3 linked regions of the Cricetulus griseus genome follow. The protein of the gene in region 1 binds, or shares a complex with, the protein of each later gene. Links are inferred from orthologs where the notes say so. Each region holds a gene or a part of one and is shown in the gene's direction. Other genes may lie near its edges. The genes, in order: Mmp10, Timp1 and Timp2.

Region 1 (10,615 bases):
ATTTTCTCCATTTGTTACAATACTAAAAGTAACAGTATTATTCTAGGATAGCCAAGACAAGAAACCCTGTCTCAAAAAAAAAAAAATCCACACAAAGTAAATGTAAATTAAAATGCAAATGTTAAACATATATATACTGAAGTCATGCAGTACTCAGGATTGAGTTAAAATCTGGAAACTGCATATATGATATAATAAATATATTTCATTGTATTTCTAGGGTATTTCTATTTCTTTCACGAATCAAATCAATACAGATTTAACCTCCAAACAAGAGTGGTTGATGCTTCCCGGGATTCTAACACCTGGTTCAACTGCTAAGGATTCTGGCAGCCTATTCCCAGTCTATGAAAATACATGTCTCATGATGCAAAAGAAGATGCTCTTCTGAAGAGTCAAGCATTTTTATATTTATCTACCTTCTAGAATTGTTGATATACAGAGCTACTAAGCACACTTGTATTTATATTTTGCCTTTTATATTTTCGTATTTTATATATTTTATATTTCATCTTGCATGTTTTAGTTCAGTGTTTTAAAACAGTTTAGTGCCACAATTGACAGCCCAACAAGGTCGAGTTCCTGGTTGATAATTCATTGAAGAAGGCCATTGACTCTGACATTAACCCTAGGCCTCTCCTTTCAAGAGAGAAGGGTCAGCAGACAAACTCTCCCAGAAGAAAGGCAGTTCTTGAACACACGAATAGCTCTACATGAGGAAAATCCATTGATGCTTTAGGTCTGTTTTTTAAAACAAATCTTATAGGCCAGGCTGGCATTGTACTCACACCTCTTCTACCGCTGACACCCAAATGCTAGGATTTCAGGCATGCCCGTAATGCCCAGATAAGAATTTTTTTGTACAAAATAAAGATTTGATACTTAAAATAAAGCTACTTTTGTCTCTAATGCTTTATAAGCTTTCTATTTCTATTTTGTTACTACATGTTTATAAAGCCTCACCTATAAATGTTATTTCTTTCAAATTTGAAATGGAAAACAAACAATATGAAAAATACTCATGAGAAAATTAGTCTATCCAAAATTTTCAAATTTCTACACTCTTGTGGAGATCATCTACAGCAGGATGTGTCTCATAAGCACAGACATCATGGCACCTAGACCTTATTAATTATCATCAAGTACAGAGGTGCAGTGCTCAGAGTGGGTCCCAAACACTGGGCTATGATGTACGTGGCAGGGCTACAAGGCTGGACAAGAAAGGAGTTATTGAAATGGGCACCTAAAACTTGGGACTTGGCATTCCAAAAGGAATCCAGGAGCTGTTCCCATGTGCTGTTTACCTGGCACCTCACATCGTGCACACAGTGATGTTCCATAGTAAATGATATAAAGATCAAAACTTCTGTCTCAGTGTTGAGTTAGCAGCTAGAATGTGCAGGGAGACTGGAGCTTTATTACATGGAAATTAAGCACACTGCACCAGACTCTGGTCCTTAGCAAGGCCCAGAGGGCAGTTTTCCATAAGACTATAAGGTATATATTAGAAAAGGGATATAATGGTGTCTGAGGCACTTATGAGTGTGGGTGCATGTCCATACATCTGGGGAAGTCAGACAGTGTCTTAGGGTTTCCATTGCTATGAAGACATGCCATGACTACTGCAACTCTTCTAAAGGAATAATATTTAATTGGGGTTGCTTACAGTTTCCAAGATTTAGTCCATTATCATTGAAGGGACCAGCCCCCCATTTTGGCAGCCATGACAGTAACACATGCTCGCTATGACCTTGCCTTGGTCACTAAGAGGTTAGGTGCCTGCCTCGTGGCAAGGAACCAATCAGAAGTTAGCTGGTGGTGCTATGCTTTATGGCTCTGGGTGTGCTTTACGGACAAGTGCACAGCAATGACGTGCAGAGCACAGCAACCACCCTGGGAAATCAACACAGGGAAAGCCCTCCAAGCCTGAAGGCACACCAATCCTAAGCCTGTGAAGCTGCCCTACAACATCGCTTGGCAGCAGGTTCGAGGTGTCTTTTCTAGCCATCCGCCATGGCGGGTGGGTGAAAGACCCAAGCTAACATGGGGTTAGCTCATTAAACAACAATAAAACCTCATGCAGTTTGCATCAAGCTCTCAAATCTGTCTGCTGATTGGGGTGACCGAGGTCGTGGCCTTACCCCGGATACCTGAGTTTTCCAGGGGTCTAACATCATCATGGCGGGACACAGCTGCATACAGGCAGACATGGTGCTGGAGAAGGAGCTGAGAGTCCTACATCTTAATCTGCAGGCAGCAGAAGGAAATTGTCTCACATTGACCAGACTTGAGCTTATAAGACCTCGAAGCCTGTGTCCACAGTGACACACTTCCTCCAACAAGGCCATACCTCCTGCAACAAGTCCACACCTCTTAATAGTGCCACCCCCTTTGGGCTGGACATTTACACACATGAGTCTGTTGGGGTTACTCCTCTTCAAACTACCACAAACAGAAACCTCAGTTTTCATTCTTTATATGCCAGCCACCTTTCTTCTTTTTTCCTTCTTTCCTTATTTTTTTCTTCTTCTTTGTTTTTGGAGACAGCATCTCTCAGTGGCCTGGAACTCACTGGATTGTCTGAGCAGGCTGGCCAGTGAAGCTCAGAGATTCCCTACCACCACCACCACCACCACCACCACCCCCACCTCCCACCCACCCACCCCACCCCTGCCATGCTGGAATTGCAATCATAACCAGCCTTTATTTTCATGTAAGTTGTGGTTAGCTAGATGACCTTGAGTTCATTCCTGTTTTTTGTTTCTAGTCTCAATCTTCTTGGGTTCTTATGCAGATTAGAAAGCGTGCATACTTAAAATCTCACATATAGGAGCCCTGTTCTGAGGGTTGAATTGAAACTTTCCTTGAACTGAATATGCCCCTGCTTGCTTTACTGCATAAATATTCAGTGAATTTAATAGGTAACAATCAGGACTCCATAGCCTTAATCATTAATCTCCTCCAGGTGTGGTGGCTTAAAGTAGAGTAATTTTATCCAACAAAATCCCTCCTGGGAGGCACGTCCTTTCATGGTTACTCAACTACAGTCACAGCCATAGCTCTTGGGCACACAGGAACCACTGGCAGGGTGTGCCAACACCAACAAAGATATGACTCAAATAAACACTAGGCAGCTCAGAACCTGTCAAGTCAGCACCTCAGGGCTGTTAGGAATCTGTAGGAACAAGCTGTGTCTGTTAAAGACACGGGAATAAAATGAAAAGGAGCTTTGTTCCCAGTATGGTGTACACATAAAAACTAACACCTTTAGTGATGGTTTCCACATCATAGGAAAAGTGATCATGTGTTATATTGTGTACTTGCTCAAGTCTAGCTGACTTTATCCGAGGAGTCTGCTAACCATCATCTTTGCCTCTGATTTTCAGATTCACTTATTGTCTATGTAGTACCTATGCTAAGTCACAAGCTGACTTTGCTGGGCCAGGGCATGCACCCCTCTCACAAGCTGCAGCTCTGGGGCCTCAGAGTCTCCTGGTTTATGGAAGTCTCTGTTGACATGCCTCCCTGTGGTAAGGAGGTAGATGGTACTAAAAAAGTCGCTCCTGTATTTACTTGTTTCTATCCCACTAATTTGAATTTTATACTTTAGACATGGTAGGATTACTTCCCTTTCACTGGAAGAAAAATGTACTTCAAACATTTTGGCACCCTCTGACCTCTATACTAAGAACCAAGCTTGTGGGTCTGGAGAGACAGCTCTGCAGCTAAGAGCACTGGCTACTCCTCCAGAGGACTTGCTCAAGTCCCTGGCACCCACAGGGCAGCTCACAACCACCTGTAACTCCATTCCAAGGGATCTGACTCCCGCTTCCAGCCTCTGAGGGCACCTGAACAAATGTGATATATACACAGAGAAACATTTACACATATACGTTAATAAAAATATATTTTCTTTTATTTTTTTTGGCTTTTTGAGACAGGGTTTCTCTGTACATTTTGGAGCCTATCCTGGCACTCACTCTGTAGACCAGGCTAGCCTCAAACTCACAGAGGTCTGGCTGCTCTGCCTCCCAAGTGCTGGGATTAAAGGTGTGTGCCACCAATGCCAGGCTAAATATTTCTTTGAAGAGCTAATTTTGGTTTAACAGCTACTGCAGAGTTTCTGTGTTTGAGGAGCACTCAACTTGGCCAAGGGAAGGAATGAAAATATTTTTAATGGGTAATGTTACATGAAGAGAAAGGACTGGAAATACCATTGTAAACCTCAATCATTTGTACTTCGGAAGAAGGGAAAGGATAAAAACTGAAAAGCAAAGACAGGGAAGGAGCATCTTCATCTAATATGCAATTAACTGACTTCCATTTGATAAGTCTTCATGGGGCCATCATCATGAAACAGAGACTGAAGACATCGTCAGGAAATGGAGCCTGGGTGGACGCCTGAGCTTCACCTCTGGACCTTGCCTCCTCCATATTGGCTGCCTTCTCACAGTAAACCCACCCTCTCCCAAGGGCCAGTAAATCCATCTGAAAAATCAATAATACCTGTTATACTCAAGGACTCAAAAAATTCCCATCCTTATATCTTCCTAGATAGCCATCTTTCTACTTAGTTTTGGAATATTTTTCCATTGAAGGGAACAGCTCCCCATTTCGGCAGCCATAACAGCTTGTCTGACCTTGTCTTAGTCACTAAGGTCAGATGCCTGCCCTTTTTGGCAGCCATAACAGCTGAACACATGCTTGTCTGACCTTGTCCTAGTCACTAGAAAGTCAGATGCCTACCTCGTGGCAAGGAACCAATCAGAAGTTAGCTGGTGGCGCCATGCTTTACGGCTCTGGGTGTGCTTTATGGACAAGTGCACAGCAATGACACGCAGAGCATAGCAACAACCCTGGGAGGGCCTATGGGCCATAACAACCAGTTGGCCAATCAACACAGGGCAAGCCCTCCAAGCCTGGAGGCACACCAATCCTGAGCCTGTGCGTACCCCTAGACACTCCCCTTAGGCTGCCCTACAGATCTCTATGCAGCCGGTTTGAGATGTCTTTTGTAGCCATCCACCATGATGGATGGATGAAAGACCCCGAGCTAACATGGGGTTAGCTCGTTAAACAACAATAAAGCCTCGTGCAGTTTGCATCAAGCTTTTGAATCTGCCTGGTGATTGGGGTGACCTTAGTCCTGGGCTGAGATCCTAGAGGCCTGAGTTTTCCTGGGGTCTTTCATTATTAATGTATTTACTCCTTGTCTGCATGTATTTGAGCCTCATGCATGTTTTTAAAAGAGAAAAAACAACCAACCAAACAAAAACCATTGTTTTCAAAATATCTAAATATTCTAAAAACATTAATTCTCCAGTCAGTTCCTTTTCCTCTTTACAAACACAGAAACCACTTCCTTGAGATTAGACATTCTTTCAAGTTTAGTAGGTTGAGGGATTCTCTGATGTAATCTATTCCATCTTCATGCTGAGTGTTTGTGAATGAGCATGCAGTCATTCAGATTAAAAATAACACACACGTGAGTCATGTCATTAGTGACCTAAACACTGACTCCCTATAAAAGAGTGGCCACTAAAACGAAGGTATAGAAGTCGGGAGCTAGAGAAGGAGTGCATTTTAAAGTAAAGGCTGTCTGGATGGAGCCACTGGCCATCCTGGTGCTTCTGTGCCTGCCAGTCTCTTCAGCATATCCTCTGCATGGAGCAGTGAGGCAAGACCACCCAAGCATGGATCTTGCTCAGGTAAGCAGCAAGTGAGGGATCAGCTTCCAGTGGAAGGACAACTGTAGCTCGTTGGTCTTCCAACAGGAGTAGACGACTTGATTAGAAGTTGTGTTGGAAAATATGAGAGAGTGAGAGATGGAATCTCCATCCTTACAGAGAGGGAAATAGAGGCAAGGGCAGGTGGATACCAATGGCCATGGCACAAGTTGAGAAGAGACAATAGGGAGGTTGAAGTCTCTCTTGCTTCAGAATTATTTATCTTCTACTACTTCAAGAAATTATGCATACTCTAATTTTTCATGTGTGAAAAAATGAATTTATCTAACACCATTCAGTATTAACAGCTCTATGTTAATAATGGAAATGGGAAAACTTAGATGCATTCATGTAATGCACTTACACACCTATGCTGGTCTCCTTGCCTTGGTAGCATATTAAATTGCAATGAAATAATAAAATGGGGCATTTTAGTGAAAAAAAAATCAAATTAGGTATGACACCTACTTGTGTTTCAATAGACTGGGAATAATTAAAATGGATTTTGAGGTTTGTATAAATGGTTTAAAATCCACAGTCACAGCTTTAAAACTGTACTTGTCACCCAACTAGCAATATCTAGAAAAGTACTACAACTTTGAAAAAAATGAGAAACAAGTATTTAGAAGAAAGGACAGTAGTCCCATTGTCAAAAAAATCCAAGAAATGCAGAAGTTCCTCGGGCTGGAGGTGACAGGGAGGCTGGACTCCAGCACTATGGATGTGATGCTCAAGCCCAGGTGTGGCGTCCCCGATGTCGGTGGCTTCACCACCTTTCCAGGTTCACCAAAGTGGAGGGAAACAAACCTCACCTACAGGTAGGTAACGGGTCTGAAGTTTTCACATGTGTTAACACTGTGTCAGAGTCATCGAGCAGCACACACTGCCTTCTTCCTCTTCTCTCATGCAGGATTGTGAATTATACACCAGATTTACCGAAAGAGAGTGTGGACTCTGCTATTGAGAAAGCACTGAAAGTCTGGGAAGAGGTGACCCCACTCACATTCTCCAGGCGCTCTGAAGGAGAGGCTGACATAATGATCTCCTTCGCAGCTGGAGGTAATGCAGTTGTACAGTCACTCATCTGCTGTTCGAGTTGTTTAGGCTACTAAAACAAAATGCCTCACACTGGGAAATCTGTAAACAACAGAAAGGTATTGCTTGGAGTTCCAAAAAATTAGAAACACACAATAAAGGGGCTGCAGACTCAGTTTGTTTCCCCATGTAGCAGAAGTGGCCAAGAGACTCCCTCAGCTTCATTCACCTAGGCACCACCCATCAGAGAGCATCATACCCTGAGCATCTTCTACAGGAGCTGCCTTGTGATCCTGTCACATTAGAGATTACATTTCAACATGAAGACTTTGAGGGACACCAGTGTTCAGACCACACAGTTCCTGTGCTGTCTTATATTTATATCTCCATAAATTTGTTTCCCATCAGAACATGGAGACTTTTACCCTTTTGATGGACCAGGACAGAGTCTGGCTCATGCCTACCCACCTGGGCCTGGATTTTATGGAGATGTTCACTTCGATGATGATGAGAAATGGACACTTGGACCATCAGGTAGGATGAGTTTAGATATGAGTTTTCCAAGAATAACTTGTCTAGAGCAAGACTCAAACAGAATGTTCTGTTACCTTCAATCTCTGATTATCTGTGTGGCAACCTGAAGCCCTATTCATCTAATTACTAACAAACTGTGTAAACTGCTTCTTTCTTTGCACCCCCCAAGTACAAAACAGTGGGTGCCATTTACTGTCATTTTGACAACTCAGGATCTTGTACAGGGTTAAGTGTGTTGTAAGTTACTACTGTTTACCACCCCAATAATAAAAGAGTAGTGTTGAATGAGTGCTATTGAGTAGGTTAAGACCCCAAAAGTTGCCCTTGACTTTGAATTCTCATTTGCCTCTTTTCTTTTTAAACGCAATGATTTGGAGAAAATGCCAGAAACTAAAGGAAGATGCTCTGTTTAAATAAAAATGCCACCTTTGCTAGCTTGGAAGCCTTTCTCCTCCCCAAACGTTTTGGCTACCATTAACTGCACTCTACTTAAAATTTGTAAACAGCATTTGAAGTTTGGACACAGACTGTTGAAACAATCACAATTTCTGGGTTTCTAAGTGTGGGGTTACTGTTAATATGAAGCAGTCTTTATTAATTGTGCAGATCTGCAGCAATGCCACGGGACATGATCAATATTTCTTCCCTGTAACTGCCTGAACCTCTGCTTCAATGACCAGCACCAACAGAGCTTTTCATAATGCGAGGCAACTGAGTCCAGCTGTGTTCACCACAGAAACAGGCAGAGGACATGCTTCTGTTTATACTGGGACCTATGCCCTTCATGCAGCACCCGTTGCTAGGAAGTGGATTTTCTCCAAAATGTAGTTTTTTATGGTTTCATAAATATATATCATGCACTGTGAATATATTTATTCCCATTAACCTCTCTTGTAAACATTTTTATAACAATCAAAAGTTGATGACGGTGATGAAATTCCCCATAGTTTTGTTACTTAAGAGGTTGAAGACTATATAAAGAGCTTGTGTTTGATTTAAAGTATGGTTAAAACTATTTTGTTACTAAATCTTAACAATGGTTTCTGATTTCTAGACAATAAAGATTTATTTTTGTTGGCATGAGATTCATCTTGGTCCTGCCAAAGAAATCTCTTTTGGAAACAGGACTTGCCACCATTGATACAGGAATAGTGAACTAATATTCTGACTAAGGAGACTTCTAGAGAGCAACTAGTGAAAAACTGTCTTAGACACTGACTTCAAGTTAACCATGAAAGACACGTGATGGAGTGTGCAGTGATTGCAGTGAGCTGATAAATGAGGAGAAGGCAGTGTGTGATCCCAAGGGTGCCCTGTGCGGTTGGCAGGAATAGTGTGTGCGTGTCTGTGCAATAGTAACTGTTAGACTTTAAGGTTTGTGCTTTCTCAAACAGGGACCAACTTATTCCTGGTTGCAGCTCATGAGCTTGGCCACTCCCTGGGACTCTTTCACTCAGACAAAAAAGAAGCTCTGATGTACCCCGTCTACAGGTTGTCCACCAGCCCGGCACAGTTCCAGCTTTCTCAAGATGATATAGATGGCATTCAGTCCCTCTATGGTGAGCATGAGGAAATCTGGCTGAGAGTCTTCTTTATTTGCCTGCTTGCTCTTGTCGGTGTTCTTTTAGAATGCTGCACATGTCATTAATAGCAAGCAGTAAGATGTGAATGGTTGATCCTAAGTTCATCTTTACCTCAGCCCGTATGACCCAGGAGAAATATAAAATTGATAGAGTCAGAAACTAACATAGGCTTGGTGCTTTAAGAAGTTCCCAAGCCCAAAACTCCACAAAATGAGGGTGAGCACAAAAAATGATCAGGAGAGAAACTGGCAATACAAGTCTTTAAAAAGTGGATGACTGCTGAGCAAGGCCACAGACTGAGTTTATCTCAAATGCGGTAAATTGGAAGTAATGGGAGCCCACAAGGACATATGTCAGTGTGCCCTGCTCAAATTTATGTCTCTGTAAGGAGAGAAGAGTAACTTGCAGGCAAGAAGATGGAATTGTCTGAACGGGATGATAGTCTGCTTCCCTGATGTCTGTAAAACCCTGTTAGGAGCCTTGAGTGACGGTGACTCCAGATGACATGCAGGTTGTCAGGAGATCCCGAGACTTGAATAGAAGTCCTTAGAGGAAACCTACAGAAATTGCTGACCTGAGAATATGGGAGCTCAAGGACCCCAGTCTGACAGCATAGGACTGAACCAGGCCCCCTGAACATGGGTGACAGGAGGACTGCGCATTCTATGGGACCTCTGGTGGTGGAACCAGCATTTAGCCCTAGAGTAGGAATGGACTTTAGAAGCCCATTCTCCCCATGGAGGGATACTCTCTCAGCCTAGATTCCCAGGGGAGGGGGAATCTAGACCCTGCCCCAAATGATGTGACAGACTTTGATAATCGCCCCATGGAAGGCCTCAAGCTCCCTGAGGAGTGGGTGGGAGGGGTGGAGAGATGGGGGAGGATGGGAGGGAGAGGGAACTGGGATTGATATGTAAAAATAAGATTGTTTCTAATTTAAATTTTAAAAAAAAGAAGAAAAAAGAAGCCCTTCTAAGGCTGGGGCACTCAGGCATTTACAAAGAGCTATGGAGTATGGATGGACTATTAGGGAGGAAGCTTTGGGTCTGAAAGCCAGAGGATGAAATGGCCAGAAGGCAATGCTTGGGGTGTACCTGAGGACAAGATGGCTCCTACTGTGCTCTCCGTGTCCACTCAGAGGTGAAGAAGTTTGGACAGTGTGTAAATTGTTAGATGCATACCTGATCTTCTAACATTTGCTTCCCCTAACCTGTTCCCTTCAGGACCACATCCGTCCTCTGATGCCACAGTGGTACCCATGTCCTCTGTCTCTCCAAGACCTGAGACCCCAGCCAAGTGTGATCCTGCTTTGTCCTTTGATGCAGTCAGCACCCTGCGAGGGGAACTGCTGTTCTTTAAAGACAGGTTAGAATGCAACATTCTATTTCCCGAGCTACTTTTTTGATTCAATGCTCAGAAAGGAAAATAAACTTGGGGTTATATATAATGTATTTATATAGTAAATGTAATATGATTATAAAATATTTCTGACATGTTTTAACATCTCTGGTATATATTGCATTTTTAAAGATCCCATTGGAATTATCCAGCATATTTCTTTCTAGGCTCCCAGAAGATGATTTTTGGTCAGTAGACTAAAAGATGCATAAAATCAGGGAACTTCATCTCTTATTTTTATCTTTCAGTCTTTATATATCATAAGTTATGGAACTTCTGAAAGTGCCAGCCATCCTTAGGACCAGACAAGTATCTTTACTCTTGCTAGAAAGTGCTGTT
Region 2 (10,727 bases), on another chromosome or scaffold:
TATCTACTCACAGAGCGCCTTATATATTACCAAGTGTCGCCACTCACCAAGGATGTCCAAGTGCTCCCCATTGTCCTTTGCTTACACACTGCTTTACACTCCACGTCACCTTTCACTGAGGACAATGCTTTACAGTTTACATTGTTGTTCCCATGCACCCACTCTTCCCTCTGTGTTCCACCAGTCCCTGGGTGCTCTCACCTCAATAATGTGGTCCCTTCCGTCTTTGCCATGCAGTGCTTCCACTGCGCAGATGTCAAGCCCCCCAAAAATCTCCGAGCATGTATCTACCCACAGCTTGTACCTGCCGAGACAAGGGACAGGGCAGCTTGTCATTGCCATGCCCAGGTGATTCCATTATACCCCCTCCCACTCCTCAGTTATGTCTCTCACCTATCAGACATGGCAATCTGCTCAAGCATGGCAGAGCCTGTGTTGGTCTTCCAGTTCCCTGACACTGATGTCCTCCTAGGGAGGGAAGGGGAAGAGGCTTAGTGGAGCCTGAGATGCATGGGGCAGGGCCCTCAGAAGGCCCCTGTCTCTCCACTTACATATAGGCCTTGTAGTTCTGCCCAATCTTCTGGACACGCACATCGTATTTGGCATCAATGAAGGGCTCAGCAGTGGCGTATGTTTTAGTCAGTGCCACAACGCTGGCGATGTCCTGGAAGTCATGTTGGTTGTCTACCTTGACCTGTGGGCACACATGTGAGATTAAGGCAGTATGAGGAATGGATGTATCTGGAGGGATGTGTAGACAAATATGAAGTGGATATGCCAAGGCACTGAAGCATGCATAATTATGGGTATCCTGTTTCATACATGTGCACACAAACATAAAATTGCTTTATGTAATTGAATATGCTTAAAAAAAACATTTCTTTTTTGCAGTGCTGGGGACCAAACACAGGGCCTTGCACATGCTAAACAAGGACTGTACCCCTGTGCTACATCCTCAACCCAAATTATCTACTTTAAACAGGGGAGTTAAATGGAGTGTAGAATTATTTCTCAATAAAGCTGTAAAAAGAACTGTACATAGGCCATACATAGACATAAAACCTCAGTTGTACACGGAATATACAAACACAGAAGCTGAGACACACTAACTTACAAATTACAAATCTGCTTGCTACATACACACAGACAAAATCAGCTGGATGGAAAGCATACTGGACCCCAAGAGCCTGGAACATAAAAGATGATATGTATTCATCACAGAGCCATGCTTATATATTCATAGCCATATGCTTGGTACACTAGCACAGTAATGGGACATACAAAATTGGCTGATTGCATGAGAGAAATGTGGGCTGAAAAAGAAAATACAAAATCCAGTTATATGAAGGCATCACAGAAAGCATCATCAAACAGAATTTTTGTGCATTGAGTACACAGATGCACATGTAACTGTGTACAGTGCCAGAGCATGCACTATACAAACATGCATGTGTGCACCACTGTGACTCACCTTGCCCATCCCAGAATGTGCGTGGCCCATCTTCACAACCACAGGGTATGTTGTGCTGCTGAGCTAGTGAAGATGAAGGCAGAAGAGGCATAGTCAGAGCAGTAGTGCTGACCTCCAAGAGTTGGTGACCCATAGAATGTGAGCTACACTGGTTGCCATTCCCCCCACCCCCAGAAAGAGGTTGGTCAGAGACAGGCGGAACTGCAGTCAATAGTTTCACAGCGACTCTGAGCCCAGATTGCAGAAAACTGCCTGCCAGTCACTTACTCTGCTCTCTAAGTCCTAGACTATCCATATCTGCTTCCCAGCCAGAGGCCTTAGATAAGGGTGAGGGAATTTCCCAGAAAAGAAAGTTTGTTTTTATGATGATTAGCTATTGGAGTGAGTGTGTGTATGAAGGTGTGGTAGTTAGCATGCAGAATGTCTTCAGTCAAGCCTTGCATGTAAGTTTCATCTTTATGTACACACACACACACACACACACACACACACACACACACACACACACACACATCCCTTCAAAAGTGAGATTACCCAGCCAAAGTCAGAGGTGTCCACATCTATTGAGAAGTCCATATGCATTGAGAAAGACCACCACAGGCTTAAATCACATCGGGGGCTTCGAAGAAATCCAGTCAGTCAGCTCACTTGCTCTTAGCATGTGAGCACGCCCGAACAGCATGCTCTTCACACTCCTAAGACCTACAATCGGCACCTTGGAGCACACACATGAGCTCCCTCCCCTTGCTCACACCTACCTAACAGAAAGAGCCACTCATTCAGTATAGAAGCACACACAACGCTAGAAGCACACAATAAATGGACATATGCATCACTCCCCAGCATGTCCACAATGAACAGAAGGATCAAAACAACATGCAGAACGTGTGTGCACGTTTAGGCATTTCCATAACCAAATTCCTATAACTCAGACCTCATTACATTCCTGGGTCCATGAAAAGTATATCTTGATGCAAAATTATTTTTCCATATCTATGACACAAACATACAGAAAATCAAACACACAGACAACACTCCTGGGTGTGGACATAAATGCAGACAATTATGAGTTAGGTAAAGATGTGTTAAGTTTCCCTATAACCTGGGCTGGGTAGAAGGGACCAGATTAGAGGACCCTAGCCCCATCATATCCCGTGTATAAATTCAGAGCCCCTGCCTCCTACTGACAGGGCAGGGAATGCATTCTTAGAGGGGTTCCTGGGCAGTGGCAGTTCCCAAGAAGCACAGGAAGCCCCATAGTCTAAGGGTGACTGATTGACCTTCAGGTCTCTCCCTCCCTCTACAACTTCCTCCTCCCTCATTTCCCAAATGTGTGTCGTCATGAGGATGGGGGGAGGGCTGAGTGGCATGGGTTTGGAAAGGGGGATGGCGGTAAGGGTGTCATCCAGGCAGCAGGCCAAAGAAACAATGCCAAGGTATGTGTTGCGTGTGAGAAGAGAGAGATCTCCCACTCAGGCGTCTACTCATCACACAGAGAAGTATGAGGCATGCACAGTTATATTTGCAACCTTCAACTCTCAGAAGAAACACCCTTAGATATATGCCTGGCTCTCAGGAAGGGAAATTGAGCCCACCAAGGGACACATGCCAGTCACAGAGGCACAGACACACCAGAGAGCTGTGCACATGCAAGCATACCTACTTCTACTTGCTGAGCTTTCTGGATCCTTTTTATAAACCAACTTTGTTTCCTCTGTTCCTGAGCTTGAACACAGTGCTGTGTGTGCATGTAAGTGTGTCTGTCTGTCATATGTACATACAGAGGGCTTGGGATTTCCTGGAGAGCCGTAACCTGCTATCTTGGCCTTCTTCCTAAGGCCGGGTGAGATCCCGGGTAGATACCATCTCTCTGGGCCTCAGTTTCCTGATCTGCACAAAAGGTATAATCAAGACCAAGCACTTAACACTTTCTTGGGGATCATCAGGTATTTGCACATGCCAGTGAATTCCTCACACTTACCCAGTTCCCCAGATAGAGACAAGCCAAACACCTTGACATCCACCCCACTGCATTTCAAACCTGCACAACAATCAAAATCCTCACATGTAACCAGTTGGCAAAAGTGGGCTGACTCAGGTTTTATAAAGAGCTGGTGTCAGAAGCAGGGTCATAGAGGAGAGACTGGACTTTCCCTCTCTTTACTTCTCCTCAGTCCCGCCACCTACTTACTCAGCCCTGTCTCATCTACTCTCACTCCTCACTTTCACAATCAGACAGTTGAGAATTTTGGTTTCCTTTCCTTTGTTCCTTTCTTTGTATCCCTACCTCCCCACCACAGTGATTTCTTCACTATCATTCCTGGACAGGCCATTTGACCCCTTTCTGTCTCTATTTTCTCATTAAATAATGAAAATATGAATTGTAACTCACAGGCATGTTGGGAAGAATAAATCAATTACTTCAGAGGGGAAAAAATCTTAGTATACACATAAAGTAAACCCGAATCTTCAAAGTGCTGGTTACTATTATCGCTGTTATTACTGATTTGACAACTCTTCATTAATTGACATTAAGGGAGAATGAGGACAATAGCAAATGAAGGAACAAAAAATCCAGTGCTTGCTGCCTGACAACCTGAGTGTGAGTTCGTAGGGAAGGAGAGGACTGGCTCCTGCAGGTGGAGAGCAATACAAGCATGAGTACAGCTACACACACACACACACACACACACACACACACACACACACACTGAATAAATATAAGAAATCTTTTGTATATGGTGAGGGTTCTGTTGAGTGCTGGCAGTAGGTTTTTGTATGCTGTGGTTATTGAGCTAATCTAAATTAACAAAATTTAATTAGCTAAAATGACTGTACACAAAGATCTTAGCAATAGTACACAGTAAGTGCTCAACCAAGTAGCTGCTGTCATCACTATCATTATCATTTTGTGTGTGTGTGTGTGTGTGTGTGTGTGTGTGTGTGTGTGTGTGTGTGTGTGTGTGTGTGACAAGGTCTCACTATGTATGTTCCAGGCTGTCCTGGAACTCACTATGTAGACCAGGCTATCCTCAAACTCTCCGGATCCACTTGCCTGCTGGGATTACAGCCATTGTCATTACTATTGGTCTACCCTGCCTGGATTAATTGAGGGTGTTAATCATCCCATAGAACCTTCCACACGACCCCAGAGAATATCCCTGCATCATCAGGAAGCGGGTGGGCAGTAGTTGCCTCATCCCACCCCACCAGGGATGTGGGCTGGTTGGTGGGAAAGGAGCTGGGCAGGATGGGGTGGGGATGGGTTTTCTACTGACTCACTAGCTTCTTTCACCATCATCCACACCCTCACTCCCCCCATTCTCACCACACTATTCCCTGGTTGCCAAGATTGGGCTCCGCCTGAGTGAGGATCTCAGTGTCAAGAAGCCCAGGTTTAAATCCCAGTTTTGTTCTGTGACCCTGGCAAAGTTCTTCACTTCAGCTATTTGCCTGCTTGATTTTGTTTCTGCTTAAGACAGGGTCTCTCGTAGCACAGACTATCTTCAAACATCCTAAGTTCTAGGCTCACTCATGTGTACAACCACAGCAAACTTTTGGGGATAGGTTACCACCTAAGCTCTATCTGCAGGCCACCTCAGTTCCTCTCCCAGTTCTGACACACTTAACTGCCATCTTCAAAAAATAACAGACACTCTCGGTGAATCAATTTCCTCACTATGTATTTGTGTCTCTTCTCCCATCTCATGGCCCTCAACTCTTTTTCTAGTTTGTCTTCCCCTCTGCCACCCCTCAACAAAAACGCCAGGTCCACTAGGAAAGCCGGCCTTGCAACAAAGTAGATGTACTAAGGCGCAGGAATGAAGCCATTGGCTTCAGCCATAGGAAGTTTGGGGAATGTAGGGAACTGGATAAGCACAGGGCTGTGGGGGCTTGGGCTGCCTTTCCATTTCCCCTTCAAGGCCGCCAGGGAGGAATGCGAGTGACGTGGAGCTGGGGGGAAGGGGCACAGTGGGCTGGCTGGCAGTGGAGGGAGTATCTTTAGGCCGGTCCTCCGGCCCGCCCCTAGGCTTCGATTCCTGCGGTGGGTGGATGAGTAATGCGTCCAGGAAGCCTGGAGGCTGTGATTTCCGCGCCAACTCCGCCCCTTGCATGGACATTTATTCTTCACCGCTCAGTCCCTGCCGCCATCGCCGCAGATCGGGCTTCTAGAGAGACACCAGAGGTAAGTGGGAGCCGGGTGTCCTGGCTGGAGCCTGTGTTGGTGCGACCACCAGGCACATCCGGTTCCCTGCCAGACTAGCTGCTTGACTGGGCTTGCAGGTATCAAGACCTCTATTTGGCCAAGGGGGAATACGAAGGGAAGGTTTTTGGAATGAGTATCCCAAGCTAGACTCTCCGGACTCCCTCATGCCCCTAGCATTCATCCCCAAGTGCTCCAAACCCACAAGCCTCTAATGCCTTAAAGACCTCCCAACTTGCCAACTCCTCTGAATTTTTCATTGTTCCCCCAAACCCCTATAGCTCCCTTAACTCCCCCTGCCCTCAAACTTTGCCATGTCCAGCTCCTGGAACTTCAAAAGTTCTTCTGCCTTCAAATTCCTCAACACTCCCATTACCTTAAACTCCCAAATTCCCCCAGACCCCATAACCCCTAAATTTCCCCCAGTTTCCTAAAATCCCAAACCTCCTCTAAAACCCTTAGTAGCCACAAATCCCCATGCCCATTATATCTTAATCTCCCTCAGCTCCCAGCCTCCCCTTATACTTCTCCAGTTTCCCAAACCCCAAATTCTTGACTCCACAAATGTCAGTCTCCAGACTTCTCCAACTCCACTAAATTCTCAAACTTCTCAGCTCCTGGACTCATCAACTGCCACAACTCCATTATCTTCCTATTCACTGTCTCCTAAATCACTGGAACTCAATAAAACCCAAAACTTTCCCAACTGTTTAAGCCCCTAAACCTCTCCAGGTTTCTCACCCCTTAAGATTCTCAGGGTTCCCTAATCTCCCTAGGGCCAATGGGTAAACAGATCAGTTGGGCTGGGGATCAACTACTACCTTGTCTCTCCCAGCAGATACCACTATGGCCCCCTTTGCATCTCTGGCCTCAGGCATCCTCTTGTTGCTATCACTGATAACCTCCAGCAAGGCCTGTAGCTGTGCCCCACCCCACCCACAGACAGCCTTCTGCAACTCCGACCTGGGTGAGTCTAGCCCCCTTTCTGTGCCTCTTAGTCCAATAGGGCTCATGATGGCAGTTATCTCTACAACAGTTGTACTTACCCTTGCATAGATCCACTTTGGCCATATTGACATCCTTAGGCCTAAGCCCACCTTTGTGTTGGCTGTTCCCTCCCAGGTAGATATTTCTCTGTAGTTATTCACATGGGTGGCTACCTCAAGAGTCATCTTACTGGGGTGCCTGTCTACTTTGTTTAAATTTTAATCCCTGCCATATAGTACATCTGATTCCCTGTTAAATAAAACTGTGAATTACACTTCTTAGGGCACAGAAAGGCAGACTTTATTCAGGACCATGGCAATCAGATTTTTCAGTCAGGGAGAGAGATTGGGCTTAACTCTCAACATAGCATAGGCAAATGGAACTCTACAGCCAAGGAACAGTTTAGGGATTGGTGACTGGGAAATCACTGAGAAGAAATATCACAGGCAAGGAGTAAAAAGATTCAGGCTAAGCCCATTTTTTAAAAAAAGATTTATTTTTGCTGGGCGTCGGTGGCACACGCCTTTGATCCCAGCACTCAGGAGGCAGAGGCAGGCTGATCTCTGTGAGTTCGAGGTCAGCCTGGTCTCCAGAGTGAGTGCCAGGATAGGCTCCAAAGCTACACAGAGAAACCCTGTCTCGAAAAAAAAAAACAAAAAGGTTTATTTTTATTTATGTCTATGTGTGTGTGCACCATGTGTGGTGTGCAGGTGCCTGTGGAATCCAGAAGGCATCAGATCCCCTGGAGCTGGAGTTACAAGTGGTTGTGAGCCATGCTATGTGGATGCTGGGAATCAAACTTGGGTTCTCTAGAAGAGCAGCAAGTGTTCTGAACCATTAAGACATCTCTCGAGCCCATGAGCTCACTTTTTTGAGAGTAGGTCTCACTATGTAGCCCAGGCTGGCTTTGAACCCTTCATCCTCCTCACTCAGCCTTCCAAGTGCCGAGATTACAGGCCTGTGCCACCATACCCAGTTCAGGACTCTTGCTGAGAACTGGCCAGTGTAATCACCTGATGGTCAGTGGAAAATATGGAGCCCCTTCACATATCGAGGAGAGTCAGATGAGGGTGGGTTTTTCACTAAACTGATTTAGTATACTTTGGTACAAGTGGATTTTTCTTTTTCTTTTTCTTTTCTTTTCTTTTCTTTTTTTTTTTTTTTTGGTTTTTCGAGACAGGGCTTATCTGTGTAACATCCCTGGCAGTCCTGGAACTCCTATCTGTAGACCAGGCTTGCCTCAAATTCACAGAGATCTGCTTGCCTCTGCCTCCCGATTGCTGGTATTAAAGGTGTGAACCACCACCACCTGGCATCTACAACTGCATTTTTAAGAGAAACTGCACTTATAAGCTTGGAAGAAGGTTAATGAGCCTGAGTAAATTGTGGTCAAGCAAAGAATATGTGTCAATCTCCTCCCTTTTCTAATTCTCCATCATACTTAACAGCCTTTAACAATCCATATACCTTTTTCTCCATACTGGGGATTGAACCTAGGACTTTTCATATGCTAAGCAAATTGAGGTACAAACCCAACCCTTTTGTGAATTTCATTTTAAAACAGGGTCTCACTAAATTGTCTAGACTGGTCTTGAACTCACACTGTAGTGGTCCTCCTTCATCACCTTGACAGAGCTGGGGTTACAGGTTTGTGCCACCATGCCTGGCTACTTAATTTTAGTTATATCCTCCTGGCTTGAATGTGAGATCCACAAGGAAATGGATTCCTGTGTTTGGGTCACTGTTGTGTCCCTAACACCCTGAACAGTGGCTGCATATATCAGGCACTCCAAAATATTTGTTGAGAAAGCCAACAGATGGATATATGAAAAGTGCTTAAAACAGTACCTGGAAGAGTAGACAATGTATAGATGAATCAATCAACAGACATGGAAACATGGAAACCATTAAGTGTGCTGTCTCTATTAGAATTATGCTTGTATATATGTTTTGCTGTTATGGGTTCATGCTGCTCACTTAACTCCTTATTTTCCCCTTCCTTTCTAGTCATAAGGGCTAAATTCATGGGGCCCCCAGAAATCATTTTCAACTTATACCAACGTTATGAGATCAAGATGACTAAGGTATTCCTTCCTTCCTCCCTCCCTCCCTTCCTCCCTCCTTCTCTCCCTCTCTCCCTCCCTCCTCTTTCCCTGTCTCCCTCCATAGCCATATTAACCTCTTCCTCCTCCTCAAAATACTAGCATCTAGCCTTTGGTTGGTGTGGACGTTTCCCATAATTTTGTGATTTAGATATATGACATCAGGTTAAGAGGTAATGGAGTGGGAGGATTAAATCAGTAAAAGATAGACTTTTTGTCACTCATGGGCAGATGCTCAAAGGATTCGACGCTGTGGGAAATGCCGCAGATTTCCGGTTCGCCTACACCCCAGCCCTTGAGAGCCTCTGCGGATATGTCCACAAGTCCCAGAACCGCAGCGAGGAGTTTCTCATCGCGGGTGAGGCCCGCCCCTTCGCTTTGGGCCACACCCCTTCATCCTCAGATGCTTCCTGGCAACTGGGAGGAGCGAGGCTCTAAAGGGAAAGGACCTGGTTGAAATGGGGGCGGGAAGGTTTGTAAACTAATGCTAATCAGGTAACCCCAGCACCACCCGGCCAATCAAAAGCCTGTTGGTTTCTCCATTCCCTTACAGGACGCCTAAGGAATGGAAGTTTGCACATCAGTGCCTGCAGCTTCTTGGTTCCCTGGTATAGCCTGACCCCTGCTCAGCAAAAAGCCTTCTCAAAGACGTATAGTGCTGGCTGTGGGGTGTGCACAGTAAGTTCCTAGAACCAGCTCTCTTTCTGGAGATAATACCTGGAACGGTTTCTTTTTCCCTCTGGCTATTCTTTGTTATTGTAGCTGCTTCCCAAACCCAACCACTGCCTTTAATTTCTCTTGTTGTCCCAAACCTGCTCTTTTGGAGATACTGGTTGTTCTATTATCTTGGGACTGCATGTTCCCTGAACCTTCTCTGCCTCTCTAACTTTTCTTTTGTGTCTACTCTGAAATACTGCTGTCTGTTTCTGATCTCCCAAGATTGGGTTTGGCTTCCCAGGCATGTTCTGCAAGAATTCAACGTGTGATTTTCCAAATCCACAGGGATATGTCGACCTGGCTATTTCAAAACTGTTCCCTGACAGCAATAAATATCCTCTGACCTCAGTCACTGTCTGAGAGCCCCGTTGCCTATTCTTATGCTTAACCTCTCTGCATGCCAACTGTTACCCTCTACTCAGTTCTCTGCCCTGTGAGGCCTGCCTGAGTGACTTCAAGAGATAGTTTCCTACCCACCATTCCAGAACACTGGCTTTCTGTTCCCCAAATGGGAGAAGCTGTTCTCGGGTCTAAACACAGGTGGGGCAATGTCAAGCCTTCCCAGCTGCTCTGTGTTGCCAGAAGGAGAGTGGAACACTCTCCATAGGGGAGGGAACAGGGGAAGAAGAAGCCCCCAGAGTGGACCTTTCTCTCATCTTCCAGGTGTTTCCCTGTTCAACCATGCCTTGCAAACTGGAGAGTGATACTCATTGCTTGTGGACAGATCAGATCCTCACGGGCTCTGAGAAGGGCTACCAGAGCCGTAACTTTGCCTGCTTGCCTCGGAATCCACAGTTGTGTGCCTGGCAATCCCTGAGGGCCTAGATGACCCAAAGCCTACCCCCAGTGGAAGCTGAAGCCTGCACACTGCTCCCCTCCCCTCCATCTTTCTTTCTTTTAGACAGTGAAATAAAGAACTACCACACAGCAGTGCCGTTTCAGTGTAGTGTCTGGGAACAAACTCAAGACAATGATAACCTGGTGGGAGCATCCAGGGTCCAATGAAAAATGAATCCATTTGAAATGTTGAGTTTGGAGGCTGGAAATGTAACTTAGTGGTAGAGCAGCTGTTTTTCATGTACAAAGCCTCAGGGTCAATCTCTAGCAAAAAAGAAAGGAACAAAGGCCAACCTAGTCTACAGAGAGAGAGAGAATTCTAGGACAGCCAGGACTACATACTACCCTGTTTCCAAAATCTGAAACAAGAAAAAAAAAGGAAAAAGTGTTGGGTTTTTATACTTTACAA
Region 3 (10,145 bases), on another chromosome or scaffold:
TTCCCTTTGCCACGACCATGGCATCAAGGTTTCTAGAAAGTTCCTCATAGGATAATAGCAGGACAGCCCTACTTCTGTTGGCGTCCTGGGGCAGTTGTGTTTCTCAAGGTTCAAACACTGCCCGTCATCTTTGGCTCATCGTCAGTGCCCTTGACTTTCCAGACACCTAGCTCTTTCCCATCCCTTTCTGGCTGGGTGCACTGGGATTGTTTTTGCAGGCTCCTCTAGGGGGAAGTGACATCATGTGGTGTCCTCAGCCGGAGGGATGGGGGTAGGGGCTCTGCGGTTGTGTGTGCTCTGAGTTAAAGTCAACGCTTGTGCATTCCAGTAGCCAGCATCTGGCAGTGAATTCATCAGCCAGTGTAGCACTCTTGATGGCAAACCCAGATGTTGGGTTAGCAAAAGGAAAAGAGGAAAAAGCAAATTTTGAGCTGCATGGGGTGGGGGTTACAACAAAAACAGTTAAGCAGGACTCCCCTGCTGCCTTGTCCAGCTCCTTGGATAGGTAATGGGACAGGGCCTAATGTGGCTGGTCCTACCCTGGTGTCTGCCCCCAACCTAGCATGTAAGTATCCAGTCAACAGGCACTCATGCCTTGCTTCTAGTTCATCCCAAATTCTTTGAGTCTAGATTTCCCTGTCCTTCGGATGGCCTGGGATAAAGAGAGGCTATCCATTCTGTGACATGGCCTATTTTCCTGTATAGCCCTCACAGTCACTCTGGAGGTCACACTGCTGACCACTGCCGTGTGTGGGGTTATGCTTCTGGAGGATTCTTTATTTACTTTCCTTTCCTGTCTGCCACCCGGGATTTCCTGTCCATCTGTCTACCTGGTTCTCTAGATCAGACATCCCTCTAAGGCCAGGCCTGCAGAAGCTTTTACTGGCAAGACATCCCCCCTTCCCCTTCTCCACCCACTGATCTCACCAGGTGACAGCTACAGCTAAGACAGGTGTCTGCTGCAGCCAAGGTCGATAGTCCCTAACCCCGTGTCTCTCTCTCTCTCTCTCTCTCTCTCTCTCTCTCTCTCTCTCTCTCTCTCTCTCTCTCTCAGAGAGGAAACCATCCAGGCTTCTACTCTAAAGTATCTGTAGCCTGGGTCTGAGGGCCAGAAGCAGCCTGCCCCGCCCCCACTCCCTACAAACATCCCTGACCTTCTGAAAATTTCAAAAAAGAAAGCATATGGCCCACAGCCCTGAGGCCAAGTGAGTACACAGCTGTGCCACCAGACCAGAGCTGGCTTTCTGGGTCCTTGTCATGTAGGAGTGGAGAGATCTGCCCCATTCACTCTTCCACGATGTGTTCCTTGCACGGAGTGCCCTCCCAGGGCCTCACTAACCCTCCCCACCTTATGACACTGTGTGGCGACATCTGTGTCTGATGTGCCATCAAGTGATCTCTGATGACGGCCGAGGTTAGCGCTCCTCTCCGCCATGCCTTTAACACACATTCTTACACCAGATTCCTTACCTGCCATTTGTCTTAGATCGAATCAGGGACTTGGGCGTGTGTGGGAACTCGGGGACTTCCATAAGACAGTAGTATTGGGTCCTCAGTGCCATGGGAGAGAATTTGGAAGTCACTGGGCTTATTTTCTGATTGCCAAGTGGATGGTGCATTTTACTGAACTTTTTTTTTTCAGAAGTACATTCTTTTTATTTCTTGTATTATATTTATTTCTTGTGTCATACAGACACATACAAGAAATTTTACATTTCCTAAGATGACTCTCCATTTCTTCTACTTGTATTAAACTAAAGTTCATAAAGAAATACCGAAGGACTGTTTGAGAAATCTTATCTTCAGCAACCTCAGCAGTGGAGGGTGAGAGGCAGCAGTTCCCTCCCCAGGAGACCTTTGTATTTATGCTCCTTGTCAACCAATGAACCTCTTCACAGCCTCCTGGGGAACTCACATCATTAGCTCAATATCATCTTCTCCAAGAAATGTCATTCGTTCTTCTCTGCTTTCCCTGTGTCGGTGGTAAAGGATGTGGACAGTTGCTGCACTTGCTGGGATTCCAAGTACCAGGGCTATGTTTTGAATACTGGACAGGCTTGTCCATGAAGTGGCCATTTTCTGGGGAATTCTCTTGTCAGGAGTCAAGCACCTTCGCCTTGCACCTTACTGTTCCCTCTGCCTGGTCACTACCAGGGCCCAGCAGCCAAGCAGGCAGCTATTTTGCAGACACTTGCCATGCCCCGGAGGCATGTCCACACCAATCAATGCCTGTCTTGAAGTCTGACAATCGTGCACCCATGCAGCAGCCAATCCTTGCTCCGGCAGCCATGAGCAATGGATCAGGGGTTTCTAAGGCCAACCTTGAATGTAGACCACAAGGAGTCTGTCTGACCTACAGATAAGCCCTGGTGATCAGCAGGAACTCCAGTCTTCAACAGATCGATGCTGCTGTTTTTTTACTGAACTTTTTGTTGTTGTTTTGTGTTGAGACATGGTCTCAAGTAGCTCAGGCTAGCCTCAAACTCCATAATAGTTTAGGGAATGCTGAGATTCCAAACATGGGCCATGTCCAGTTGTATGTGTTGGGACTTAAGCTAAGGACTTCATGTTTGCTATATAAGTCCTTCTCCAGCTGAGCTGTAGTCCCAGTGCTTAGCAGACACATTGAAGCATTGTACAGTATAGTGGGCCACTACTTGAAGCAAGGCTAGCAAGTTCTCTAGGCCAGTAGAGGGAGATGGACCATTCCTTTGGAACCCCTGTCCCCTCTTGTTTCTGAGCAGGTGACAGTGCTATTCAAAGAAAAACACATGACAGTGTTTACCTGGCCTCCAAAGTTTACCTGGCATGCTTACACATTTGCATAAACATTGCAATGCTGATGGTTGTATAGATTACACAGGAGGGACCAAGGGCCAGCACGCCTATGCTGTCAACCCAAGGCCGTCATAGTCAGCCCAGTTCCATCTGGTAGTTGTTTTCTGAGCCCCGGGTCTTCTGTAACATGGCCTCTACTTGTCATGACCTCTCAGATGACAGGTGAACAAACATTTACAGCAGAGTATGTTAGAGATGAGCAATACACCTGTCGCTGCAGGAAGAAAACAGGAAGGGTTTCTCAGGATGAATGGAAGTTCTCCAGGCAGGGGCCTGGAGGTGACATTTGGGGAGAAGAGCTTTCCTGTTCAGAGATGGCACATATCTAGATATCCCAGCATGTGGGGGACAGGGAAACAGGGTGGATTAGGAAAGAACAAGGGAAAAGTGGGGTTGCAGGTATAACCCTGGCTTGCTCTACAGACCAGGCTGGTCTCAAACTCAGAGCTCCTTCTGCTTCTGCCTCCCTGGTGGTTAGATTAAAGGTGTGTGCCACCACTCCTGGCTTGAATTTTAAGTGAAAGCATTTTTGTTTTTGTTTTTTGAGACAGGGTTTCTCTGTGGCTTTGGAGGCTGTCCTGGAACTAGCTCTTGTAGACCAGGCTGGTCTCGAACTCACAGAGATCCGCCTGCCTCTGCCTCCCGAGTGCTGGAATTAAAGGCATATGCCACCAACGCCCGACTAAGTGAAAGCATTTTGCAAGAAATGTTTATGGGGAAGGCATAGAACCAAAAACGAGCCCTCTGTTCTAGAGTGACCTGCCAGGTAGCTTTTACCAGGTTGTAGCTGTTTGAAGTGAAGCCTGCTTTGGGCTGGGAAACAGGAACCTGTGGCCAGGCCAGTAGTGACTCAGCCTCACAGAAGGACCAATGTAAATGGGCCTCGAGCTGGGTGGGGCCTGGGCTGTGGTGTGAGACTCAGTGGGGAGGGATCCAGAGAACATTGCTGGGGTCTGAGCAGCAGATGGCACTCCCACGTGCCTGGACCTCCCTGCCTCTGTGGTAAACAGTCCTGGCCAGAAGTTTCCAAGACTCAAGCTGACCGCTGGAGACTATGAGCCGGCACTGTCTGCTCCCCTGTCTCCATCTAGCTCATGTGCACAGTGACAGAACGCGTGCCCAGAGTGACCCTATGCCACTGCCATTTGAAGGACAAAGCTTTTAAAGCCATTAAAACAGACCCTGGCCCAGCTAATGACCTCCAAGTAATGAAAGGGAGTGCCCCGCTTGTGGGAGGATCTGCTAAGCTTTGGTGGTAGAGTTTCCAGGGAGGGCCCAGGGGCTTAATTACTGATAGAAAAACCCATGCTAGGCACGACCAGGCTCCAGAACATTCTGGAACTTTCCTGGTATATCCCTTCCCATCACTTCTTTTGATTGTTGTCCTAGATATTCTTCGAGCATGTCCTGCTTCCTTACCATTTGTGTCTAAGGTTTGACAGCACTACTGACCAGATCCATAGCCTGCATGATATGCATTCCGACTCCACGCCTGTCACGCTTCTCAGAATACATGTTACTTTAAAGAATGTCTCACAAAGCCATGGCTGGTGGCCTGTGATTATAATCCCAGCACTGGGAAGGAAGACACAGTTGAACGCAGAGGCTTGCTGGCAAGCCAGCCAGTGAGCTCCAGGCCAATGAGACATCCTGTCTCAAAAAATAAGGTGGGGAATTCAGTGACAGGATTCAGTGTGTAAAGGCGCTTGCTTGCCACAGCCTGTTCACCTCAGTTCCATCCCTGGAACCCACTCGGTGGAGAGACTCCCATAAGGCGTCCTCTGACTTTGACATGTTGGCTGTATCCGGCAATGTGCAAACCCTGCCCACCCCCAACAAATAAAAATGGAGAAAAAAAAAAAAAACACCCAAAAACCAAGGCAGGTGGCGCCTGAGAAATGATACATGACCTTCACACGCTTGTCCCATACGACATCTCACACGGAAACTTCTAGAGAGGGATCTCTGAACCTCTTGAATGCTAGGCCGGTGCTTTGCTCTGGGCTGTGCTCCAGGACCCCCCCACCCCTGTGGAGACCCCAAATCTGAATAACCAGGCTCCTTTGCGGTGGATGGCTGCCCATCTTCTTGAGCCTCCAAAGTCTGTTTGAGGATGAGATGCTGGCATGACAGAGTCACCTCTCCACCAGCCCTACCTGCAGGGGCAGGACTATATGCTAGGCCATTTGTTTACTGTTTCTCTAGTCACCAGTAGGTAGGAAGAACCTGACCCATGGCCACAGCCTACCGCTGTACAGAGCCGCCTATGGCCCTAGTCAACAAATGATTCATTTGGGATACATTGGTTTGGGTTTTGTTTGGGGTGGTTTTGTTTGAGACAGGGTCTCACTTTGTAGCCCTTGCTGTCCTGGAATTCACTATGTAGGCCAGGCTGGCCTTGAACTCGCAGAGATCCACCTGCCTCTGCTCCAAGTGCAGGAGTTAAAGGTGTGAGTCATCACACCCAGCTTTTTGGTATTTTGTTTTATTTTGTTTTGTTTTTCCTGGCAGGGTTTCTCTGTGGCTTAGGAGGCTGTCCTGGAACTAGCTCTTGAAGACCAGGCTGGTCTCGAACTCACAGAGATCCACCTGCCTCTGCCTCCCAAGTTCTGGGATCAAAGGCCTGTGCCACCAATGCCTGGCCAGCTTTTTGGTTTTTGATTTTGTCTTTGAGTCAGGTTTGTGGTTGTTGTTTTGTTTTGTTTTTTTTTATTTTTGTTTTTGACAAGAGGTTTCTCTGTGTAGCCCTGACTGCCCTGAAACTCACTCTGTAGAACAGGCTGGCTTCTAACTCAGAGATCTACCTGAGTGTTGGGCTTAAAGGCGTGTCCCCCACCACACATATACACACCACCTGGTAAGGCAGGGTTTTATTAGCCCAGGCTGTCCTTGAAGTTCTGACCCTCCTGACTCCATGTCCTAAGGACTGGGGTTAAAAGTGTGTGTCACTGCGCCCACTTTTACTTGGTGCTAGAGACTGAACACAGGTCTTTGTGCATACTAGTCAAGCACTCGGCCAATTGAATCACATCCCAGCCACAGCAAAGAACTCTTGCTAACCAACCCAGGACAACAAGCTACAGAGTCTCCTCTCCTTCCTGTGCCAACCCAACTCCTCTGACCCCCTCAGGTTACAGTGTTTGGGCAATAGACCCACCTCCCTTTGTACCTCCAGTAGGGAGGGACACCTTCCTCCCCTGGGCAGAGCCTGAATCCTGGTCCTCCGGGACTCTCCTCATCTGTGTCTCTGTATTTTGCAGTGATCAGGGCCAAAGCAGTAAGCGAGAAGGAGGTGGATTCCGGGAACGACATCTACGGCAACCCCATCAAGAGGATCCAATATGAGATCAAGCAGATAAAGGTAGCCCCTGGTTTGGTGGGGGAAGCAGGGATGGGGTCCTGGAACGCCTCCCAGCCACCGTAAGCCAGAAAGCTGAGCTGTCAAGCCACAAAGAAGCCCAGTTCTCCTTAAGCCACAAGAACATGAAAGGCTGGCAGAAATGTGAGGTTTTCAGCTGCCTCAGTCACTGTCCTATGCTTGGCACAGGAACCAAAGCAAGTCTTGTAAAGAAAGCATATTAAACAGGGGCCTGCTTACAGTTTCAGAAGATGAGTCCGTGGTCATCATGGTGGGAGGCAGGCAGACGTGGATGGTTCTGGAGCAGTAGCTGAGAGCTTTGCAACCTGACCCTAAGGCAGCAGGTGGAGTGAGGGACATTGGGCCTGGCATGAGCTTTTGAAACCTCAAAGCCCACCCTCAGTGACAGACCTCCTTCAATAAAGCCATACCTCCTAATCCTTCCCACACAGTTCTACCTACTAGGGGACCAAGCATTTGCATATTTGACCCCATGGGCCCGTTCTCATTCAAACCACCATGTCACCCTAATTCCAGAAACAGACTAGCTTGATTTTACCAGGTGATAAACCTGGGGGTAGCATGTCATAAGAGGAAGAGTCTGGCAGTCAGTTGTACTTGAGGGCAGCTTCCTGACTGTGGTGGGCCATTTACTGAGAAGGTAGCCCATTGAGCGGACAGGGCTGTGGTCGGGGAACTGCAGATGGCCCCAGTCGTGGCTGTGGTGGTGTCTGCTAGTATATTCAGAGTACTTTGTGTGTCAGAGACAAATGGGAAGAACCAGTGTTAGAGAGAGAGACAGACAGAGAGAGACAGAGATACTCAGAGAGAGGCAGACAGAGAGAGAGAGAGAGAGAGAAACAGACAGACAGACAGACAGACAGACACACACACACACACGAAGAGAGAGAGAGAGAGAGAGAGAGAGAGAGAGAGAGAGAGAGAGAGATGTTAAGGGAGAGGCAGGGGATATGGCTCAGTTGGTAGCATGCTTACCGAGCACACATGAAGCCCTGAGTTTGATCCCTGGAATTACAAAACTAGGTAGGGTGGTACATGCCTGCTCTGGTAGTTGACATTTACTAACTTGGTATTCAAAGAAAGACAGCTGGCTCCTCCAGTGTTAGGGACAGCTTTGTCATGCAGTAGTGGTTGTAGACATCCTTATTTACCAAAATTGAAAATAAATATTATCAACAGGCCAGAGGAGCGAGCACTTCCTCATCCCATGTGTCACCTCAGGAACGACTAACTCTCAATACCAAAGTCTCCTTCTGAGGCAGAGAAGCAGGTGGGCTTGCGTAACCTCATCACCTCCTCGTGGCTTAATACCAGGAAGTGACTCTGTTGCCCTGGCAACCTTCCTTCCTACAGCGTTAGAACTGAGCTCCCCAAAGCCGTTTTGTCCTGGAGAGGGACTGCAGCCTGAAGGCTCAGTGGGTAAGAGCACTGACTACTCCTCCAGAATTAGGATCCCAGCACCCATGTCAGGCAGCTCACAACTGCCTGCCGGCCCTGCTTGAGGGGAATCTGGCTTCTGAGGGCACCTCATGGTAGCAGACACACAGACACAAACACACCATGGAAGTAGAAATAAAAATAAATATTTAAAACTCGAAGGAAGGAAAGAAGGAAGGAAGGAAGGAAGGAAGGAAGGAAGGAAGGAAGGAAGGAAGGAAGGAAGAGGCAAACGAAAACCCTCTTCTGGGGTGTCGGGAAGGGTGTGAGTAAAAGGGGAGCGGGGTGAAACCCCCACACACATCTAGGTGTCTTCCTCTGAGGGGCAGCAGGCATACCCCTGAAGAGCAGGCATACCCCTGAAATGAGTCAGATGCTGAGAAATAAATGAAACCCTCCAGTGACTCTGGGGTTATGTTCTGGCTCCAGGGGGAGCCCTTCTCCCCTTGTTCTCATCAGGTAGTCAGTGCTTCGCCAAGATCCCTGGAAATAAACAGCCTGCTGTAGTAAAACCCTATAAACCCAGCATCCTGGCTGAGGCAAAGAGAATGGAGAGTTCGAATCCAGGTCTGGCTACAAAGTGAGAATTTAGTTTCAGAAAAAGAAAAATTGTGGAAGTAGGGCTGGGGTGTAAATTATTGGGCTCAAGGCTCCAGGTTTGACCCAAAAGATAGGGATGGGGGTAAGGGAAAAAGAGAAAATCAAAAGAAAAGGAAAAAAATTTAAAAACAATCTTTTTGTGAGTGTGTGGTTTTTTGTTTATTTGTTTTTAGCTTTTTGGTTTTTGGAGACAGGGTTCTCTGTGTAGCCTTGGTTGTCCTAGAATTTATACAGTTCTGATTGCCTCTGCTTCCTGAGTGCTGGGATTAAAGACCGCCCCCCCCCCCACACACACACATACACTTTGGTTGGTTGGTTGGTTTTGTTTTTCAAGCAAGCAAATGAACCCGGTTCCTGGGAAGAAGACAGAGACGTGACCCTCTGTGGCAAGTGAGAATCTCCTAGAATTTATACGGAGGTTTGGAAATGATGACCTTGTGCTCAGAAATTACCTTGGACAAAGCCTTGGCAGGCTGTGTTTGCCAACTGAGATCTGCCTATATCCCTAAGCTGATGTGTGACTCTGAACACATCTCGAAAACAGTGGTGGCTTTTGAATCCCCTGTTTACCCTCTATGCACCTTGGGATGGGGAGTACGGGGGGGGGGGCATACCTGGGTGCAGCCATGTACCCCTGTTCCCATCATGCTTTGGTTGGGAACCCCATGGCGGCTTACTCCTGCCCCCCTGTGTTTTGCAGATGTTCAAAGGCCCTGACAAAGACATCGAGTTTATCTACACAGCCCCCTCCTCAGCAGTGTGCGGGGTCTCGCTGGACGTTGGAGGAAAGAAGGAGTATCTAATTGCAGGTGTGTAGGAGCTCAGCCTTAGTACTGGGTCATGGTACCCTAGCAGAATTCCTCTGCGGTCCTGTCATCTGGTCCCTGAGGAACAAGCTTCCCACACTGCCCTCTAGGGGCGAGCCAGCCCAGCTGCACGGGCACAAGGACTGCTGGCCAGCACCTACTTCCAGAGACACCCCAGGTGCTCATCTATACCGAAACTGTCTGTATTAGCCGTCTCTCCAGGCTAGTGCCCCCTGGGAGGGATATGCCTCGGTAGCCATGCACACGGACTCTATTTTCAACCCCTGGGGCCAGACCTGTCAGTCAGCCCTGCTGACCACTTGGTCATCTCAAGCATGGACACTGCTTTCTGGTCCATGAGATGGAAACCAGCCTACCACACCAATAAGGGGCTTCTTTCTGGGCAGGTGATTTACAGATAGGTAAGCCATGCCTTACTATCAGGAGCCCTGACACACAGTGACTGCTACAACCAGGCTCAAATTCCTGCCCCAGACTTCTTGCCCTGATGCTACCAGGAGGCTGTGGATGCCTGAGCAAAGGGGAGGGTGGAGTCCTACAAGGCAGCAGGGTGATGAGCACAGCTGGGGGCTGCTCTGTTTTGTATACTTGGGAGCCACGTTAGGGCATTCTCTCTGGCTCTGCCCGTCTTCTGCACAAGCGAGGCTCTGGGTCCACACAAAGCCTGGGAAGTCAATCCCCATGGGAGACCAGATTACTTCAGTGACTGTGTATGTGGACAGCGCTTTCTGTCGTGCCGAATGCCTGTCTTCCACACTGGCCATCGGAGGGCTCCCACATGTAGCATCTGTTTTGTACTGTCCCTCTACACCCATGTGTGGCCGCTCCTCCTCCTCTAAGTAAGGAGAAAGCCACACAAATAGCACAGCGCAAGTTTCCTAGGCCCGAGAAGACTCCACTGTAGCTCCAGGTGTGATGAAGATTGAAGGTACCATGTGCCTGTCACTTAGACTACATCACACACACACTGCCCCAGACGTTTGGGCACATTTTAGTGCCCTGACCGGCCCCAGAGAATTACATCAATAAAAGACACTTTTAAATACACTGCGTGCTGTTTTAAA

What was found.
Region 2: the proteins of Mmp10 (region 1) and Timp1 are in contact, whole or in part, in a crystal structure (PDB 3V96), measured with the Homo sapiens proteins. The link is inferred for Cricetulus griseus from reciprocal best matches to the Homo sapiens genes MMP10 and TIMP1. Residues at the interface, in NP_002416.1 of Homo sapiens: Phe170, Tyr171, Gly177, His178, Ser179, Leu180, Ala181, His182, Ala183, Tyr184, Pro185, Tyr191, Asp205, Ala206, Ser207, Gly208, Val214, His217, Glu218, His221, Phe226, His227, Thr231, Tyr236, Pro237, Leu238, Tyr239, Asn240, Phe242, Thr243; in NP_003245.1 of Homo sapiens: Cys24, Thr25, Cys26, Val27, Pro28, Asn37, Leu57, Tyr58, Pro87, Met89, Glu90, Ser91, Val92, Cys93, Arg98, Thr121, Cys122, Cys155, Leu156, Ser157, Ile158, Gln173, Leu174, Gly177, Ser178, Glu179, Lys180.
Region 3: the proteins of Mmp10 (region 1) and Timp2 are in contact, whole or in part, in a crystal structure (PDB 4ILW), measured with the Homo sapiens proteins. The link is inferred for Cricetulus griseus from reciprocal best matches to the Homo sapiens genes MMP10 and TIMP2. Residues at the interface, in NP_002416.1 of Homo sapiens: Glu155, Asp169, Phe170, Tyr171, Ser172, Pro176, Gly177, His178, Ser179, Leu180, Ala181, His182, Ala183, Tyr184, Pro185, Pro188, Gly189, Leu190, Tyr191, Val214, His217, Glu218, His221, His227, Pro237, Leu238, Tyr239, Phe242; in NP_003246.1 of Homo sapiens: Cys27, Ser28, Cys29, Ser30, Pro31, Val32, Gln36, Ala37, Asn40, Ser57, Gly58, Asn59, Asp60, Tyr62, Asn64, Pro65, Ile66, Lys67, Arg68, Thr91, Ala92, Pro93, Ser94, Ser95, Ala96, Val97, Cys98, His123, Leu126, Cys127.

The regions. Positions count from the first base shown.
Region 1 is NC_048597.1:121,933,579-121,944,193, forward strand, and holds the start of Mmp10 (stromelysin-2), read left to right. Parts: upstream 1-5,537; 5' UTR 5,538-5,603; coding exon 5,604-5,708; intron 5,709-6,299; coding exon 6,300-6,544; intron 6,545-6,636; coding exon 6,637-6,785; intron 6,786-7,169; coding exon 7,170-7,295; intron 7,296-8,689; coding exon 8,690-8,854; intron 8,855-10,101; coding exon 10,102-10,243; intron 10,244-10,615. Other genes in the region: interstitial collagenase A, read left to right, coding at 221-321. UniProt on the Homo sapiens protein: Can degrade fibronectin, gelatins of type I, III, IV, and V; weakly collagens III, IV, and V. Activates procollagenase.
Region 2 is NC_048604.1:125,718,952-125,729,678, forward strand, and holds Timp1 (metalloproteinase inhibitor 1), read left to right. Parts: upstream 1-5,501; 5' UTR 5,502-5,657; intron 5,658-6,510; exon of another isoform or gene 6,511-6,513; 5' UTR 6,514-6,521; coding exon 6,522-6,642; intron 6,643-8,669; coding exon 8,670-8,746; intron 8,747-8,995; coding exon 8,996-9,122; intron 9,123-9,317; coding exon 9,318-9,442; intron 9,443-10,144; coding exon 10,145-10,306; 3' UTR 10,307-10,411; downstream 10,412-10,727. Other genes in the region: Syn1 (synapsin-1), read right to left, coding at 202-304, 394-468, 552-694, 1,472-1,534. UniProt on the Homo sapiens protein: Metalloproteinase inhibitor that functions by forming one to one complexes with target metalloproteinases, such as collagenases, and irreversibly inactivates them by binding to their catalytic zinc cofactor.
Region 3 is NC_048600.1:130,870,309-130,880,453, reverse strand, and holds part of Timp2 (metalloproteinase inhibitor 2), read left to right. Parts: intron 1-6,098; coding exon 6,099-6,199; intron 6,200-8,954; coding exon 8,955-9,063; intron 9,064-10,145. UniProt on the Homo sapiens protein: Complexes with metalloproteinases (such as collagenases) and irreversibly inactivates them by binding to their catalytic zinc cofactor. Known to act on MMP-1, MMP-2, MMP-3, MMP-7, MMP-8, MMP-9, MMP-10, MMP-13, MMP-14, MMP-15, MMP-16 and MMP-19.